Oreochromis niloticus: one gene and its partner. The protein of the gene in region 2 interacts with the protein of the main gene of each other region in a biochemical or structural test. Links are inferred from orthologs where the notes say so. Each region holds a gene or a part of one and is shown on either strand. Other genes may lie near its edges.

The links. The genes of interacting proteins can lie anywhere in the genome.
Region 1: the proteins of pdzd2 (region 2) and ctnnd2b form a complex in vitro, tested with the Homo sapiens proteins (2 studies listed by BioGRID and IntAct, with this or other methods). The link is inferred for Oreochromis niloticus from reciprocal best matches to the Homo sapiens genes PDZD2 and CTNND2.

The regions. Positions count from the first base shown.
Region 1 is NC_031982.2:5,581,754-5,588,698, forward strand, and holds the start of ctnnd2b (catenin delta-2b), read right to left. Parts: upstream 3,090-6,945; 5' UTR 2,772-3,089; intron 1-2,771. UniProt on the Homo sapiens protein: Has a critical role in neuronal development, particularly in the formation and/or maintenance of dendritic spines and synapses. Involved in the regulation of Wnt signaling.
Region 2 is NC_031977.2:406,784-413,705, forward strand, and holds the start of pdzd2 (PDZ domain-containing protein 2), read right to left. Parts: upstream 3,055-6,922; 5' UTR 2,750-3,054; intron 1-2,749.

The DNA.
Region 1 (6,945 bases), on a different chromosome or scaffold from region 2:
ATGTCGCTCAGCGTGTTCAGGGAATGGAACATTTTGGAAAAAGAAGCTCTTTGATCAGTTAAATGTTGTGTGACGAGAACAGTGGCTGGCAGGTTCACCTGTGAGTGTTAAATCTGGCTTGTAGCAGTCAGTAAACACAAGCTGTTTGTGTGAGCACTCTGCCGGACCAAATGAATACTGGAGACAAGGAGCTGAAACTGTAATCATGCTCATACCAGAGCTGCAACATGATAATGATATCTATAAAGCTTTACGAGGTCACTTCTGGTAAGTCACTGGTTCCAAACCTGGATGTTGGGACCCCCTGAGGGGTCATGAGATCAGTATGAAATGCTGCTAGATGTTTGAAATGGAACTTTTTATCATCTTGGCTCCCTGCAGCTGGTGACCTGGCCAGGTTGTACTCTTGCAGGAGATGCAAGGTGCAGGACAATTTTTCTACTTTCTGACAGTCAATACATAAGCAATATAATCTTTAGCAAGTCTCTCGTTCTGCAGATGACCTTGCACTCCACCATTACAGACTGCAGCTCTCGATATTAATCCTTGTTCTCTGTAGCTTTGATTAAAAACCACTAAATAACTACTACAGTATGAACTCAGATAAGAACTTCTTAGACACCAGCTGTAGTCTAAGAAGTTGGAAGGTTGGATGGAGTAGGTCAGAGCATAGGGAGGAAGTACTTCACAGCAAGAGAACTTTCAAAATAAAAGTGCTTGAGGTTTCTTCCTGTTAAAAGGGAATTTTTCCTTCCCACTGTTGCCAAGTGTTTGGTCATAGGGGAATCAACTGCTTAATGGGATTTCTCTTTGTTTTTATAGGGTCTTTACCTTACAATTAAAAGTTCCTTGAGGCAACTGTTGTTGTGATTCGGTGCTGTATAACTAAAACTGAATTGACCCCAATAGTCACTGCAGCTGGCCATTAAAAAATTTCCCCCAAAATGCTGCTTAAACCTCAGTTTTTTAAAAGGCTAACTTAAGGGTTTTGAGTGCGCAGGTGAGGCAGATCATGTTAGATTTGCATAACCCAGCTAGCAGTTTCCCCTCTTTTCCAGTCTTTCAACTATTTGAAGTTTACTAATTATTAGTTGTGGCTTCTGGTTACGGTTAGAAAACTGTTATCATTAGAATGGACTTGTGTACTGGTGGACTGGGCCCACCCAGCGGTAACAGGTCATCAGAAAATGCACTTCTTTTCCAAACCAAAAATGGTTTCCGAACAAAGTTTTTTCCCTTTAAAGTACTTGAGTAGAGAGAGAGTAGAAAAGCACTATATAAGAATCAGTCCATTTACCATGATGATGTAATTGTATTTTTGTCATGTATTTTTTGCCACACCCTTTACGGTCCCTATTTAGAAAAAAGTAACATTATTGCTGTTCTCAAATCATCCAAATGTAACTCAAAGGCGACATAGTAACTCCTCTGGTTTACAGTCATTAACATGTTAACATTACCAGAAACATTGGCTAAATAACTTCACTTGGTACAAGTGCCAACAATGTCAGCCTTTCCATTCGTCTGGTGTCATGATGAATAGTTCACCAACAGGAAACATAACTGTTACTAACTAATGCTGATTTTTTTCCCCTTCACCTTCCTTCTCAATATCTCACTTCCTCATCATGAACCAATGACTGCCAAAATGATAAAAGCCTGCTGACAACAAGTTACATTTCTCTGTCCTATATAATCTGCTCTGCTGGTTAACCCCCTAATGTCCATCACATTAAACTTCTTATTGAGGCTAGCCAGCTTTTCAGTTTCAAGGGGGATCAGTGAGCGGAAGCCCTACAGTCCATAAGAGAAAACACAGGAATTAGCCCTAGATTAGGCATCTTAAACGGCCATGCAGCCCATGGTGGCTGGAGATGTACTGGTAGGCTGTGTGGGGGCTAATTCAGCCGGCAGTGGGAGGCCCCGCTTTCTGCCAGGTCATAGAGCAGAAATCCACAGACAACTGACAGGAGCAAACATTATGATGTTAGCTGGTGAAACACACTGATTTATTTTATTTATTTATTTTTTTGGCAACTTGATGAATGACATTAATTACTCCACAGTTGAGAGCTGGAGAAACAGCCTGGGGCTGATCGAGAAAACACACTGTGGTGGTGGTGGTGGTGGTAGTGGTGCTTTTAGTGATCAACATGGAGCACGCAGGCAGCAAGGTGCTCTTCATCCGTCCACATGCCTCAGTGATGGCTGAGGGAAACTACAATACGGAGCGTCCACAAGCATCGCTCTGCAAAGACAACACAAAGACGGTGCAGCCGGCGCACGATGTGCCGCTGACACCCGTGATAATCACGCGAACATCGCTCATATTTAGGTCAGTCTGAAAGTAGCCTAATACTGTTTTCACATCAGCCAACCCCCTCCCTCCTCCTTCCATCCTCCGACCCCCACACTCCCCGGCCTCGGATGGATGGACGGCGAGTGAAGCTGAAATATAGGGGTTCCATTTTCACTCCACGATCAATGGAAGCGCACCACAGCCCTTTATCGCATCATGCCAAAAGCAAAACAGACACACACACACGCGCGCGATCCACACCACGCCTCGGAATAAACTGACACAAAAAAAAAACAGCAAAAAAACATCTGGCACACACTTCGACACACACACATTAATACAACATGCAGCCATATTCCCAGCACGCTGTCATGCTCTAGCAACAAAACAAAAAAAATTCTAGGCATTTGCACAAATGGGAGGTGTGAGACGAGCGGAAAGAGGAAACTGGAATGACATTGCGCCTGCTTACTGTAAAATAAATTCCCTCGGGGAGGATGGAGAGCCTCCTTTTTCCCTCTTGACTCCCCTCCTTTCCGACGTGCGAATTTCCCGAAATTCAGACCATGCAAAACAGGTAGTCAGTCATTCCACCCCTCCGAAGTATTTGGTCCTGCTCGGCGGTAGTGCGAAGGGAGAAGGCACAACCAGCATCCGAGAGAGGAGACAGCCAGCTGTGGGGAGGAAATGAGGAAGGAAGGAAGGAGCGGCCGGGCCGGAGCACTGCGCACAGGAGAGAAGGCAAGGAGAGCGGCAGAGGTGCTCTCTCTCTCTCTCTCTCCCTCTCTCTCAGTTCACAATACAACATCACCCTATCCTTGCCAGACAGACGGACAGACGGCTTGGGTACCAGAGTCCGCAGCGACACCCACTGGTGATGAGAGGAACTACAACATGGAGATGATAAGTACCACGGAAAGGCAGCAGCAGCTGGAAGAGACAAGTATGTCTCACTTATGTTACTGCAGGCACTTTTATCTTTTAACAGTATACTTCTCTAGAAAAGGTCACAATTTTTTCTGTTAAATAGGCACGAGATACCGAAGACACTTCAGCATTACGCATTTGTGTCTTGATTTAAAGAGTTAGCTATTTTGGCGGTAGAAAACAGCCCTAGAGACTGCCATGTATTTCACACTGGCTTTTATTTTTCTATGCACTTCTATAAATGTCTTTAAACAATCTATCCACTGGCACCTTGAAGCCTGAAAGTTATTAGTCCAAACAAGCTGCAACTGTAGAAAACTTTAACTGTTTTCATTAAAGTTGCTTAACAGGAATAAAACCAAGTACAAAACATATTTTCCATAACTTAAGAACTTCCAGTGGCAAACAACAAGGTCAATGCTGCCTTGGTTATAGAAAAATTGGAAAGATGATTAAATTATAGATGGTAAAAGCTACAGCACAACAAAGTAAGTGTTTATAAAGTATATTTTGGTTCCCTAAGCTGTAAAATTGTACATTCATATTGTTCAGTTGGTTACACAAATACCATTGTAGGAACAACAAGGAAGCCGAAGTACTACAAGGTCAGATAAGATGGGGCCTGATTATTAAGACCTTGTATGTGAGGAGCAGGATTTGAATTCAATTCTGGATTTAACAGGAAGCCAATGAAGGGAAGCCAAAACAGGAGAAATCTGCTCTCTCTTTCTAGTCCCTGTCAGGACTCTTGCTGCAGCATTTTGGATTAATTGAAGTCTTTTCAGGGAGTTTTTAGGACATCCTGATAATAATGAATTACAGTAGTCCAGCCTAGAAGTAATAAATACATGAACAAGTTTTTCAGCGTCACTCTGAGACAGGATATTTCTAATTTTAGAGATGTTGCACAAAGAAGAAAACAGTCCTACATATTTTTTAAATATGTGCATTAAAGGACATGTCCTGGTCAAAAATCACACCAAGGTTCCTCACAGTGTTACTGGAGGCCAAGGTGATGCCATCCAGAGTAAGAATCTGGTTAGATACCATATTTCTAAGATTTTCAGGGCCGAGTACAATAACCTCAGTTTGATCTGGATTTAGAAGCAGAAAGTTAGAGGTCATCAGGTCTTTATGTCTTTAAGACATTCCTGCAGTTTAACTAATTGGTGTGTGTTACCTGGCTTCATGGATAGATAGAGCTGCGTGTCATCTGCATAGCAGTGAAAATGTATACTATGTCTTCTAATGATGCTGCCTAAGGGAAGCATGTATAATGTAAACAGAATTGGTCCTAGCACCGAACCCTGTGGAACTCCATAATTAACCTCAGCATGTGAAGAGGACTCTCCATTTACATTAACAAATTGGAGTCTATTAGATAGATATGATACAAACCACTGCAGCACAGTACCTGTAATACCTACAACGTGTTCTAATCAATGTAATAGGATCTTATGGTCGACAGTATCGAACGCAGCACTGAGGTCTAGCAGGACAAGCACAGAGATGAGTCCACTGTCAGAGGCCATAAGAAGATCATTTGTAACCTTAACTAAAGCTGTTTCTGTGCTGTGATGAGCTCTGAAACCTGACTGAAACTCTTCAAATCATTTTTTTGATATTAAAGGAAGGTTGGAGATTGGCCTAAAATTAGCTAAGACCGCTGTGTCAAGAGATGACTTGTTAAGTAATGGTTTAACTACTGCCAGCTTGCAGATCTGTGGTACATGGCTGATTAAGTGGGACCATTTAAGAGAAAATAAACTGGCTTTCTAACTGTATTAAAACCACTTGCCCCACATTGTGTAGGTCACAGACCTAATAAATAAAATAATTAATTAATTAACAAATAATACATTTTTAAAAATCCTTCAAAGTTTCAGAGAGAGACTAAAATGGATGGAGTTTCTTTCCATTGTTTTCCATGTTTTCCGTGGTTTGGTCCTTTGACCTAATCATTAACGACAAAGTCTTTTGTGAAAGCATAATAAACCACTATGGCTCCCATGGATTCTGCATGATTGCATCATTTCTAGAATAAACCTTTGTCCATAGTGCTCTTAAAATATATTCTCCTGTATTAGATTTTATACAGCAAGCGTTTGTCTCAAATGTAAACTGAGGTGTGTTAATAAGCCAGCTTTAAAATGCCAATAGTTAATACTGAAGGGATCGTTCACTCACAGTATTGGAAAACAAGAAGAGAGCATCTCTAAAAGGCAAGTGAATTGCAGAGAGCTGTCTCATATCAATAAGCTCCTCGTTTGCCGGTGCAGTTGTTTTGCATGGCTACGTTTTCCTGGGGAGAAGTCTAATTAGCCAAACTTCATACACCTGTGTGAGCTGGAGTGTAAAAACAGAGCGCTGTGATCAGAGGAATATCAAAAGCAGCTTTCAGTCAGAGTCAGGAAACATTTTTAATAAGCTGTTTGTTTAAACTGTCTCGACCTGGCTCAGAAACCGTGGCGAAAAAGAGTGAGATGCAGGGAAAAGGTCAAAAAAATACTTGAAATACCTCAAAAACATGAAAGCAACAAAAAACAAAGAAAAAGTCAGATTTATTAGTAGTGAGGATGTGTGAGTGGATGGGTTAATAGTGTGGTGTTGGAGATGCTAAGTGGCACAAACTAAAGAAAGATGCACGTGAGAGAAGAGCTTCACTTGAAAACCCGCTTATTCTAATATTGACTCTTGTTTGGTGTGGTTTGTTGGATTGGATGATTGAAATAAAATGGCATTTAACAAACGGCACAGTAGTATGTTGAAGAACCACACAGGGCCACAAAAGCCTGGCACCTGCTCCTCACTGGTTACCAGCTTTGTCACACACTGCTGTGGGATGAGATCCCAGTCTTCAATCAGTATTTGTCGCCAATGTCATGACAAGTCAGCCAATGTGGATGTGTTGGTCACTCTAGCATGAACATCACGCCCAAGCTGATTCCACAAGAGTTCAGTGAGGTTGAGGTCTGTGCTAAAGTTTTGTGCTAAACCTTAGCACAAAACCTTAGCATGGCTAGCATCCACATGGCCTGTGGAATGAAAATGTGTGGCAGCCTGGACAGCAGAAACGCAGAAGTTTTGACTTTTTTAAAACCTTGCTGGCAACCCGGAGATCCAAAAAAACGAGTAATTGAGTAGAAAAATTCTTGCACTTTTTTTCAGCCAATCGCAGAAATATTGTTTAGCTAGCTTAATTTGGGAGGCTAAAGCTTTTTTTTTCTTCCTCTTTAATTATTTTTCTCTTTCCCCTCACCCTGAAGCAGATGGCAGCAAGCCCTCTATCATAAGGTATTTATCTTATAAATCGCCTTGACTGTTGCCAAATGGCACCATATAAATGAAATTCACTTGAACTGAGTGATCTGTATAGGTGCATATGTTAGAAAAAGGCAGCGCAATAATAATATTACAGCAGTAATTAGTGCTATATGACAAACTAATAAAATACTAGAATTTCGCACAAACTTCTTGGTTAGGTTAAACTGCACAATAAACAATGTTATTTTCCACATAATTCCACGATTCCAAAAGGCACCAACACTACAAACATGGCTGAGAGGTTCAGTTCAGTGACTCTGATTCATAAACGTGCAGCCTAAAAGACAATGACCAGCTACAACTGCTGGTGCTGACACACTTGTCAGCCTTATGATGTGCTGGTATACCTCATATGTGCTTTTTTATGAAAAGGAGAAATATCCATCGAAATCAAA
Region 2 (6,922 bases):
CACAGACAGCACATGTCCACAGACAGCACATGTCCACAGACAGCACATGTCCACAGACCGCACATGACCACAGACCGCACATGTCCACAGACCGCACATGTCCACAGACCGCACATGACCACAGACAGCACATGTCCACAGACAGCACATGACCACAGACAGCACATGACCACAGACCGCACATGTCCACAGACCGCACATGACCACAGACCGCACATGTCCACAGACAGCACATGACCACAGACCGCACATGACCACAGACCGCACATGTCCACAGACAGCACATGACCACAGACAGCACATGACCACAGACCGCACATGTCCACAGACCGCACATGACCACAGACCGCACATGTCCACAGACAGCACATGACCACAGACCGCACATGACCACAGACCGCACATGTCCACAGACCGCACATGTCCACAGACAGCACATGACCACAGACCGCACATGTCCACAGACCGCACATGTCCACAGAGAGCACATGACCACAGACCGCACATGACCACAGACCGCACATGACCACAGACCGCACATGTCCACAGACCGCACATGACCACAGACCGCACATGTCCACAGACAGCACATGACCACAGACCGCACATGTCCACAGACAGCACATGTCCACAGACAGCACATGACCACAGACCGCACATGACCACAGACCGCACATGACCACAGACCGCACATGTCCACAGACAGCACATGACCACAGACCGCACATGTCCACAGACAGCACATGACCACAGACCGCACATGACCACAGACCGCACATGTCCACAGACAGCACATGTCCACAGACAGCACATGACCACAGACCGCACATGTCCACAGACCGCACATGACCACAGACCGCACATGACCACAGACAGCACATGACCACAGACCGCACATGTCCACAGACCGCACATGTCCACAGACAGCACATGTCCACAGACAGCACATGACCACAGACAGCACATGACCACAGACCGCACATGTCCACAGACCGCACATGACCACAGACCGCACATGTCCACAGACAGCACATGTCCACAGACAGCACATGACCACAGACAGCACATGTCCACAGACAGCACATGACCACAGACAGCACATGTCCACAGACCGCACATGACCACAGACAGCACATGTCCACAGACAGCACATGTCCACAGACAGCACATGTCCACAGACAGCACATGACCACAGACAGCACATGTCCACAGACAGCACATATCCACAGCATGCATACACAGTTTCTTGGTAAATCTCGGTGTCCCTCCTTGGCCCGGTTCCTTCTTATCTGTGTGTAAAAACCAGGTCCAGTCTAGCCCACACTCTCCCAACATTACACAAATGTTTGTCCCCTGAGTCAGAACACAATTAAAAAACAACAACATTTAAATATACTGTCTGTGTTTCTGGAATAATCCACAGAATAAACTGAAACGGTCAGAAATAGTTACAATGTGGGACTTTAGTTGTATTTATATGAGCGAGAGAAAAGCTCCTCTGGTTAGTGTGACTGCTGTTGCATACTATTCCTGTGTCTGTGTGGAATACTGCATTTGTTATATTGTCTTTATGTGCTGCCCTCTTGGAAACTTTGATCTGGATAAATAAAGGTTAACAATAAAAATAACAGAAAATTTTATGTACAGTTACAAGTACTTGTATTTTGTTACTTTCGACCTCTGTTACGACGCAGTTCAACTTCAATTCACAGCAACTACAGCTGCCTCGAGGCGTTTTACATACAGATGCACACAAAGCCACTCTAATTTGGAACGTGGGAAAAACATCCATAATATCTAAAACTGCAGTATTAGTACCAGGACCAGGTATTTCAGATTATTTGTTTAGTTTTTTCCAGTGAAGCCCACGATGTGTCCTCTCATACATCAGTGACACATCAGAGACATGTGACATGTAGCAGTGAAATACGTTTGGATGGTTTCGTATACAACATGTTCATAATCATACTGTACATATTTCACATGCTCTGCTCAGCTAAGTATTACTTGTGTGGTTCGTGAGGGTGGTAGGCTGTGAATGTTGGATGGCAGTCTCTCCACTGAAAAGAAATCACATTACTTCTTAATGAGGTCATTTTAAAACTGGAGCCAAAAGAGCTTGAAAGCAACAGTGAATGGAGCTGAGAGAGCAGAGTTCCTGAGCACGCTCTCTATGAGCACTTTAAGGAATCACTCGGTGTGTCTGACAGACTGACGGTCAGTAAACACATCAAAGAGACATTCACGCTTTTTGCTTTTAAATTATAAGTTCAAGAAGAAGAAAAACAACACCACACACACACACACACACACAGACACACACACACACACACACACACACGGTGTTGTTGTTGAGGTTATAGTTTAACCTTCTGCTGTTATCTACATGTATCTACTACTACCAACAATAATAATAATATTTATGCATTAACACAAAACTTTTTCTAATGAAAATGTTGCTGGTCAGATTGGTTAGTTATGGTTGATAGTTAGAATTTGAAAGTCTTCAATAAAGTGACTTATTTAGTTCGCAGCTGTCCGTATAATGCGTAATAAAGTGAAGCGCTCAGACGGTCCGGAGCTGTGCAGCCAGTCACGATACTGCTGATGCTCGCTGTTTTCCAGCGTGTCCCTATTCTGTGAAAGCGACAAACTCGCAAAGGCTCAGTCACTGCTGTGTTACCGTCCACGTCTCTAAACGTGTACTCACGGTGTGAGTCAGTGCAAAGATAACGCAGAGCTACAGTACCTGTGGGCTACACTGTGTTCCTCCGAGGCTTCCACTTCCAGCTCCAACGATCCTCCGTGTTTTGAGCGGGTTTTTTCTTCTTTTCTTTTTTAAAGAGAGATGAAAGACCCGCTTCACGGAGCGCCTGTGTGCAGGAATAAAGTGGCGCAAAGCTTCCTGAAGAAAAGCGGCTCCAAACTTCAGAAGTCCCGATATCTTCTCCGGGAACACTGAGGCAAAAAACACAGAGACAAAGTCAAACTTCAGCCTGCTGAGCCAGTCACGGATGGTTTGGGCTCGGGCTGAACTGTCACTCGGCTGCTCCACTCCCCACTGCACACGGAGGGTGGAGTCACGTCCAGATTTGTTGAGGTGGTTCTTTTGCGCCCAGCTCCTCCCCCCGTGGTCTCCCCACTACGTGTTGTGATGTGTTGGCCATCACATCACGTGATCACTCTATAGTATTAATAATAATACTATGGTCTGTCAAACTGCGCTCTCCCAACTTGAACTTGTTACAACATGAGGCAGCAATTAGCAAATGTTAGTATGCTGTTCGGTGTTTCCACTTTCTTTACCTTTAGAGCCGGGATAGTTTGGTAAATGCTGCCTCTGGCTGTCTCCAAGTTCAAATGAAACCAGCCGTACTGTATACGTTACTGCGCTTATTCATCTTGGCTGCTATGATGCCCCACTCATGGACATCTCTCTAACATTGTAACCTTTGTTTTTCACCCCGTTTAGTGCACTGGTGGACCTGGGCTTTCAATATTCTGCTCAAACAGCACACTCTCACATATATATTTAACATACAACCATGTTAAAAATCATTGGGATTTTGGGGAATTAAGGCGATAGGTGGCCTGTGTTGCATCTCAAATGTTACATTTCATGTCAGTACAATTAGAAAAAAGACCTGAAAACATACGACTTGTTGGAAGGGTTGCCAGGCGAAAGCCTCTTCTCTCTAAAGTCAGTGTGGTAGCACAGCTTAGCTTTGCAAAGCTGCAAAATGAACAACAAAACACAACAATATCCTTCAGATAGACGATACCAAAGTGAAGACGTCTGGCAGAGTGCAGAGGACCACTTTTAAATATCAGCACAAACTGTGAAGCACAGTGGTGGAGGTGTGGTGATTTGGGCACCTTTCAATCACTGAGTGAAGCATGAACTGTGGACCATCTGTCAAATGTGAGTCCATCTGTCTGACAGTTAAAGCTTGGCTCTAATTGGGTCATGTAACAGGACAATGATCCCAAGCACAGCTGAAAAGAAAAGAGTCAAGCTGCTGTCGTACTCTGAGGCTAAGATTTCAGTGGTCAAACGGAGTCATCCAAAGCATGCAGCACCATATTAATGACTAGCCTCGTGTTGAGGATTGTCTCAGGCGTTATCTTGAATGGTCCGATTCACGTTTTGTTTTCCGTGTGACTGCAATCATCCATTCAGGGACCCTCACATTTACTTTCATTATTATTAGTTACCATTATTCCTCCGTCTTCATTACACCATGTTAGCACCACCAGGTAGCACACCATTATATGTCAGCTAGCCAGACTTCACTAACCCTTCAAACACTCTGTCTTTATTTATGTCTGAAGTGATAGCAGAGCTGTTTTAGTCTGTGATGTCTGAACATGGTATATCCTCTTCAGATGGAAACTAGCGAGCTAACTTCCTGCCAATTTCTAAGTCAGTTACAATATACCTGTTTTTCATTGATGACCTCAGGTTAGGTTTGTGTACTATGTTTGAGGTAACTTCTTTAAATATGCAATCATTTTTTAAATGGATTTATTTCTTGTTGCCCAGCAGTTGTAGCAAGCAGAATCCTAATCTGAAGGCTTTGTTGTGCCAAACCCATTGCTTTCCCAAGAGGAGCACCTCAGACTCTCTGCAGGCTCCTTTTGTGAATGTTCCTGTTTAATCTTATTATTCATATTACTATCTGTGTGGATGCTGGAGCAGATGGGGGTGAAGGCTAGATTGGAGCCAGACAGGAGAAGAAAGCAGAGGAACAAAAAAAGAAACAGGACAGAAAGACAAAATAAAGCAGGTACGCAAACAAATATGTGAGTGAGAGACAGAGAGAGTGAGAGACAGTATGTGAGTGTCTGCTTTATGAGTGTTTGTTAGTAAATATACTTGAAAAATGAGGGTGAAAGACTGCAGCTGTTCATCTGGATGAAGAGTTTTCAGTGGGAGAAACGTTTCATCACTCATCCAGGTGACTCTTCACTCTCAGCTGACTGCAGGTTTCCCCAACAGTACATTTGGTTATTGACTGAAACTAGCACCACTGATGAACAATGGACTGGGAGGTCAGTACCAGGGCCACTGATATGCCAGACCCACACAGAGGATGTGGACAAGGGGGTGAAAAGACAGCACATTCAAGAATTCACAGAGAGTTGGGGAATGGCTGCAATCACAGCATTGTAAGATGGTGACAGATGGACCCTTAGGCCCCCTCCTCCATTCACAGATGGTCTTTCCCTTTTCACGTAAATGGCCTCCTTGACTCCGCCCTCAAACCAGCGTTCCTCCCTGTCCAGGATGTGTACATCCTCATCGTTGAAAGAGTGTCCACTGGCCTGTAGGTGTAAATAGACTGCAGAGTCCTGGCCTGATGAGGTGGCTCTGCTGTGTTGTGCCATCCGCTTCGCTAGAGGTTGTTTGGTTTCCCCGATGTATAAATCCTGGCAATCCTCCTGGCACTTAACAGCGTACACTATGTTACTCTGTTTGTGTCGGGGGACCCGATCCTTGGGGTGGACCAGTTTTTGGCGCAGCGTGTTTTGGGGTTTGAAAGCCACAGAGACCCGGTGTTTAGAAAAAATGCGTCTCAACTGTTCCGATACTCCTGACACATATGGGATCACTACAGGTTTTCACTTAGGCAGCGGTTGTCCTTCTCTCCTGGATCGGCTGGAGCTTTCTTTAGGTGCCTTCCCAGCTTTGACAAAAGTCCAGCTGGGATAACCACATTTACTCAGGGCCTTCTTGATGTGATGTTCTTCTGCCTCCCTGGCCGCTGTGTCTGTGGGGATGGTGTTCGCTCTGTGTTGTAGCGTCCTGATGACACCCAGTTTATGCTCCAGTGGATAGATAGATAGATAGATAGATAGATAGATAGATAGATAGATAGATAGATAGATAGATAGATAGAATTTCATTGCTTACAAATCCATATCAAGGATTCAACATTATTTGATCAGATATATTTAACTATTTACAAGTCTAACAAACTGAACATACACAAATAAAACCATTTTCAGCACGTAAACCACAACAACAACAAACTACATGTTTACATAAACTAAGCACCCTGTGTTTAACACCCGCTTAATCTCTGATCTTATTTGATATCTATTAATGAACACTTAAGCCTGGGTTACTCTGGCCTTGATCTATAAAAATGAGGAGACAATGAGACGACTCAGTCACTGAGAGGAAGATTTCCTATATTCATTGCGATTTATTATTTTTGAACAGGCGTGTGAGATTTTGTATTGATGTACTTTTCTTGATCTCACCTGTACAGGTGTTCCACACACTAACTCCTCTGACTGTAATGCTGTGATAGTTTACATTTGTCCTTACTACTGGCTTGCTGAACATAAGGATTTCTCTCAGGTCAGGAGTATTTGGTCTTATTTGGAACAAGTTCTGAATGTTGTGGGGCAAAGATTTCTTTGCTGCTTTGTACATTGTTTGCACAGTTCTGAGGTCGACCAAATCTTTAAATTTGAGAATATTTAATTTGATAAAAAGTGGATTTGATGGTTCTCTTGAAGTAGTTTTATTTATTATCCTTATTGCTCTTTTTTGCAGAATGTATATTGGATGGGTGTGTGTTTTATACATGTTTCCCCACACTTCCACACAGTATGTCATGTAAGGCAGTATAATAGAACAATAGAGAGTATATAATGACATTGGATGAGAGTCAAACCTTAAATACTGATCCATATGTGTAGGTTTACGGTACACATCAGCTTTTAGATGTCCCCCATTAGTGAAGGAAATCTCACAGTCTATGAAGGCTAACCTGCCACTTTTCATATCCTCCCTGGTGAATTTGATGTGTCGGTCCGTCGAGTTAATGTGATCCGTGAAATGTGGTACGTCCTGAGATTTGATTTTCACCCAGGTGTCATCCACATATCTGAACCAATGGCTTGGTGGTGT